2 linked regions of the Macaca mulatta genome follow. The protein of the gene in region 1 interacts with the protein of each later gene in a pairwise test. Links are inferred from orthologs where the notes say so. Each region holds a gene or a part of one and is shown on either strand. Other genes may lie near its edges.

Region 1 (2,315 bases):
ATCCAGGTAAATAAGTGTTAATTACAACATAAAAATAACAAATAAATACAAATTAGATAAATTACACATAATTTAAAATTAAATACTTTTACTAAAACAAAACAAAATATAATCATAAACTATTATCTACCCTGCTATAGTTTGTGTTTTTTTAATCTTAAAAAAACCTGCACAAAGCAAAACAAAACAAAACAAAAACTGGTTTTTGCTTAAAAGCACTGGTGTGTGAATACACATATTTATTTATTGAAGAGAAAAATTTTTTCTTGATGTTCAAAGCTTCCCTGCCCTATCAGGTTCAACAGTGAAGGTCATAGCCTATCAAGCTTTGGAAGTGTACGAAAGCCCTTAGGGCCAGAAGAGTGTTTTCAAACTTGGAACTAGAAAAGATTCAAAGCTGTACCCACCAACCACTGAGGATCAAACAATGAACAAAGACAAGAGTGACTAGGATAGGTGGGGTGAAGGGAGTGGCTTGCCATGAAGAATCAGCATTATGAGATGCACCAGGACCCTAACATCTAACACACAAAATAAAGATCAAAGATAATTCTCATTTAAGGGACTGTTGATACCTTGCTTTTTTTCATTTAACTATTTTATCACTGTTTGGTGAAATGCAAAAATAAATAGAGCCAAAAGAATTTGAGAAAGGTAGGTTTTGAAGACATTTTTTAAAAGATGTAAGTATATGTAAAAGACAAAAGTTGTTGCAATTCCAGGTGTTCCAATACTAATTTGAAACTCGAATGCTCTTAAGATAAATATATTATTCAGGGAAATCTCAAGATAAAATACTGAGTCAGTTACAGCTGCTTTTAAGAAACCTGAAAATTGTGGTTACCTGTGACATGACCACAGTCCTTCTGTTGAATATACTAGGCAGTATTTGTAAAAATACTGTTAAAAGAACTTGGCTTCTGAAACCTTGGGGGCAGGTTTTTAAGATTTCAACATTTAAATAATATCTTACTCGTGGTTCTTTTACTTTTTAATCTTCTTTTGTTAAAATAAATTGGGGGCATAAACACAGCATAAAGCCTACTGAAATTTAGGAAGTAAACTGGATTTACCTACACCAAACAGTAAAGCAAGGAGGTGTTGCCAAACCACCCTTACATTGAGATGGTTCGCCAGTGTGGTGTGTTAATCATCCGTAGTGAACTCATTATTGTAATTAAAAATCTTCATCGATATTAACCTATTAAAGATACTGCCTATGTGAATTTATCATAGGCACAATAGAATTACAGATTTCTACAAGTAAATAAGATGTCAGATATTTTGTTTTCAGTAATTTCAATAGCATTGTGTGTCCCCTGGATATAATTCATGTCTCTCAATTAGTATTGCAGTGGATATTATCCAAAAGTAAGATAAAAATTTAAAGAATATATCTGATTTTCATAGTGCAATAACAGAAAGAAACTAGAGACAGATCAACGGGCTAAAGTAGTAATCAGACTGGCACACATTTCAAAAAAATCCATGGTGTGACTGCCCAGGCGAGGTGAAACTGAAGACAATGTGCTTCCGATCAAAGAGCCAGTGAGAGAGCCAGAAAGTGAATGGCTCTCTGCAGTTGTGGAATCAAAACTTGATCTTGGTCTGTGTAAGCCAGCAGCAGAACAGGAACGCTGAGGTGTTGAGGAACCAGACCTCTGCTCCACTACTTCATCTGAAATGGACCAAAGAAGAGCAATTTATATGAAAAGTATATATGCCCAAGCCCTTCCTATGAATTTATGATATTCAGAATATTAAGTAAACACATCTGAGCAAAGGCAACTTAATAATGAATGTCATGTTTCAGTGTTTTAGAAGCACAGTTCTCTTCCTTCCAACAATCATAACAAACATCGCTACCAATCACAACACGTGCACACAGCCAAAATGTGGCCTCTAAGTCCTTCTCAAATCGGAGTATTGGGCATTGATACTGGCATCAATCAAACTGATATCTCTTCATGTGAAGAAAGCGTATCCTTGACAACTTATTTTCTTCTAGCATATCAACAAAAAAAATCATTAAGGTAAAAATAAAAGTTACCATCATATATTGCCTTGGGGAAGTGGGGGGCAAAGTGAGAGAAATCTTGTTAAAACTGCAGATTCTACGATTCCCAGGACCAAAACACAGGGATCTGTGTTTTAATAACAACATGTAATTTCGATGAAAGAGGTCTGGGATCCATATAAACACTACCGTACATATTTGATGGTAGTTCAAGAGTAAAATTTAAATACTTTGTTTAAAACAACTTCCCTAACTCTAAACTCAGTTCCATTTTTGTTCCATCCAGCACCTGACCCTC
Region 2 (3,660 bases), on another chromosome or scaffold:
GTTATGTTATTAAATGCATAGAAAAAAAGTCTGGAAGAATACTCTCAAACCACTAACTTTATACCACCAAAAGAACTGAGTATTTGTCTTACTTTAACAAGTGACATGTTTTCCAAAGGTTTTTAAGAAATATAATCCCATTTTTCAAGTCATCCAGAGCATGAAGAACAGACTCTAAGACAACCCCAAATTATCATTGTCTCCTGGTACATACACCCTTGTGTAACTCCCTATCCCCTTGCATGTGGGCAGGACCTGTGACTACAATACTACATAAAATGTGACAGGTTGTCACTTCGTAAGTATATTACCTAAGACTATAAGGTCTGTCTTACTACGAGACACACTCCCTTGCTGGCTTTGAGGAGGCAAGCAGCCATGTCAGGAAGGCCCAAGAGGCAAGTAACTAAGAGTCTCTGGTGAATAGCCAGAAAAAAATTGAGGACCCAATGAATCTAGACAGATCTTACGCTTTTTGCAAAAATAAACTCAAAATGGTTTACAGACTTAAATGTAAAATGCAAAACTATAAAACTCCCAGAAGATAACATAGGATAAAATCTAGATTATCTTGGATTTGGCAGTGACTTTTAAAATATACCAAAGGTATAATCCATGAAAGAGAAAATTGATAAGCAGGACTTCATTCAAGTTAAAAATCTCTGCTCTGTGAAAGACCCTGTAAGAGAATGAAATGACAAGTCACGGATCAGGAGAGTATATTTGCAAAAGATAGCTCTGAGAAAGGATCAAAGAATACTTCAAACGCAGTAAGGATACAAAGAACACTTAAAACTCAACAATTAAAAAAATTTAAAAATAGACCAAAAACTTCATATACACCTCACCAAAAAAAAAAGGCAAAAAAGCATATGAAAAGATGCTCCACATCGTATGTCATCAGAGACATGGAAATTAAAATGAGATACCACTATACACCTATTAAAATGGCCAAGATCCAGAACATGGACAATACCAACTTCTGGCAAAGATGTGGAGCAACAGGTTCTCACTCATTGCTGCTGGCAATATAAAACGGTACAGCCACTTTGGAAGACAATTTGGCAGTTGCTTACAAAAATAAACATACTCTTACCACATAAGCCAGCAAAAACACTATTTGGTATTTAACCAAAGGAGTTGAAAAATACAGGAGCATGTAAGAGAAACAACTTACCCAGAAAAATATAATAAAAAGTTACTTAACAGATGACAAACATCCTTAATAAGTATAAGAGTATATGTAAGATATAACAATACATTCAAGGACATGCTTAAAGTTATCCACAGGGAGGTCTTTCAAAGGAAATACTAAAGTAGAAATCATAAAGGGAAGAAGTTAAGGATGTGTTATTTGATAAGAATGCTTATCATAGTATTTTAATAACTTGGAAATAAATTATGCTAAAAACAATATAACCATTAAAATATGATTATAGAATAGTTAACTAAAAAATATTTAACAAGATATTCACACCCAGTGGAGCATAGGCTACTCAGGAGGCTGAGGCAGAAGAATGGCTTGAACCCAGGAGTTAGAGACTAGCCTGGGCAACACAAGAAAACCCCATCTCAAAAGAAAGAAAAATACATACCAGATATATGTTGTCAACTCTGACAATAAAACAGTGTGTTATTATCTTACTTTTATACAGAAGACAGAGTGTGTGTGTGTGTGTGCGCGCGCATGTGTGTGTACCCAAAATATCAACAATGGTTATATCTGAGTGATGGAATTATGAGTGCTTTAATTTTCTTCCTTTTGATTTTCAACAATAAACATTATTGAAAACAAAACAAGCTAATAAGACAGTTTCTCATATACTCATAAAAAATAAATATAAAATAATGAAGAAAAGACACTAGAAGCTCCCACAAATGCCTGAAATTATATGTTCAAGAGAAACTAGACTAAGCACTAACCTGATATGTCCAGAAGGCCAGTGCTCGGGAGCTAATGTCCAACACGATCTCTGGTCGCAGTCCTGCCAATACCATAGCTTTATATTCCTCTGATGGACTGAGTTCTGTGCGGACAATATCTAGCTTTCCAGAAAGGGTACTGTTGCAGGCAGGACAGATAGCTGGTGAGCGACTAAACTCACCACTGCCATGCTGATCACAGAAGATGTGAGAGCAGGCAGTGACCCATGCATAGCCAGAGAGTTTGATGCGACACTTTCGATAATTACAAAGCAGCATGTCTTCACACAAAGACATAATAGGATAGTGAGGTCTCCAGAAGCTGAAGAGAGTCCTAATAAGGGGTAAATAAAAAGGCCAAGTAAGTTAAATTGCAATAAAAATAAAATAAATAAGTAAAAAATAAATATAACATGCATGTTTTTATTATAAAATACTGCACATTTTATTATATTCCTTGTATTTAGTATAATTGATATATTGATTTCAGTTACTCAATAATATTAATTGTGCTCCTTGTTTGTCCGGTTTTCTAAAAACACTTTAAGGATAAAGGTAAAGACAAAGGTGGTTACAGATCTTGCTAAAGTCAAAAATAATATATATGTGGGCCATGGGCAGTGGCTCACGCCTGTAATCCCAGCACTTTGGGAGGCCAAGGCAGGCAGGTCAGGAGTTCGAGACCAGCCTGGCCAACATGGGGAAACCCAGTCTCTATTAAAAATACAAAAATTAGCCAGGCGTGGTGGCTCAAGCCTGTAGTCGCAGCTACTAGGGAGGCCGAGGCAGGAGAATCACTTGAATCCGGGAGGCAGAGGTCGCAGTGAACAGAGATCGCGCCACTGCACTCCAGCCTGGGCGACAGAGCAAGAATCTGTCTCAAAACCAATATATAGGCCGGGCGCAGTGGCTCACCCCTGTATAATCCCAGCACTGTGGGAGGCCGAGGCAGACGGATCACGAGGTCAAGAGTTCAACACCAGCCTGACTAACATGGTGAAACCCCGTCTCTACCAAAAATACAAAAATTTAGCCTGGCGTGGTGGCGTGCGCCTATAGTCCCAACTATTTAGGAGGCTAAGGCAGGAGAATCGTTTGAACCCGGGAGGCGGAGGTTGCAGTGAGCCGAGATCGCGCCATTGCACTCCAGCCGGCGACAGAGCGAGACTCCACCTCAGAGAAAAAAAAAAAAAAAAAAAAAAGGTGCCTTGGCCCTCCGGGTCGACAGAAAGGAACACTTGGACACCTTTATCCCAGTAGCCCCGCTCAGTGAGTTTCCTCAGGTATGTCACCTGGCAGCCACGTTAAGAGGCCTATTTTACGTCCGGGGCAGAGGCGAAGCAGAGGAGCTGGGAAGCTTTAAAGCTGAGCCCTCGCTCAGGCAAGAGAGGCGCAGCTAATTCGAATCTTCCACCAGTTGGGAGTAAGCGCCTATCTAATGGCTGTACAAGCTGCGTGAGGGCCAAGTTTTAGAGAAACAGCCCCACAGAAATTACAGTCTGGAATTTTCAGTCAGCTTTCCGCGCTCAGTAGAGAAAATAATAATAACAAATGATACTTAATCTGAGGCTGAAAGAAAAAGCGCGGAAAAACTCCGTTGCCTCCACAGCTCCACAAGCGAAGATTCCAGGATTCTCTGCGCGAGTGCTCCAGGGAACTACACCAGAGCGCGCGTGCGTAGGGTTGCCCCGAAGCATCCTGGGACCTGCCAGGCCCTGTGGAGGTGCGGCGGGCAGC

What was found.
Region 2: the proteins of PRKAA2 (region 1) and CCNB1IP1 interact in binary tests that used the Homo sapiens proteins (3 or more experiments, as listed by UniProt). The two-hybrid records come from large-scale screens. The link is inferred for Macaca mulatta from reciprocal best matches to the Homo sapiens genes PRKAA2 and CCNB1IP1.

What each region holds. Positions count from the first base shown.
Region 1 is NC_133406.1:183,918,145-183,920,459, forward strand, and holds part of PRKAA2 (5'-AMP-activated protein kinase catalytic subunit alpha-2), read right to left. Parts: intron 1,679-2,315; coding exon 1,440-1,678; 3' UTR 1-1,439. UniProt on the Homo sapiens protein: Catalytic subunit of AMP-activated protein kinase (AMPK), an energy sensor protein kinase that plays a key role in regulating cellular energy metabolism.
Region 2 is NC_133412.1:93,119,212-93,122,871, forward strand, and holds part of CCNB1IP1 (E3 ubiquitin-protein ligase CCNB1IP1), read right to left. Parts: coding exon 3,482-3,660; intron 2,258-3,481; coding exon 1,924-2,257; intron 1-1,923. UniProt on the Homo sapiens protein: Ubiquitin E3 ligase that acts as a limiting factor for crossing-over during meiosis: required during zygonema to limit the colocalization of RNF212 with MutS-gamma-associated recombination sites and thereby establish early differentiation of crossover and non-crossover sites.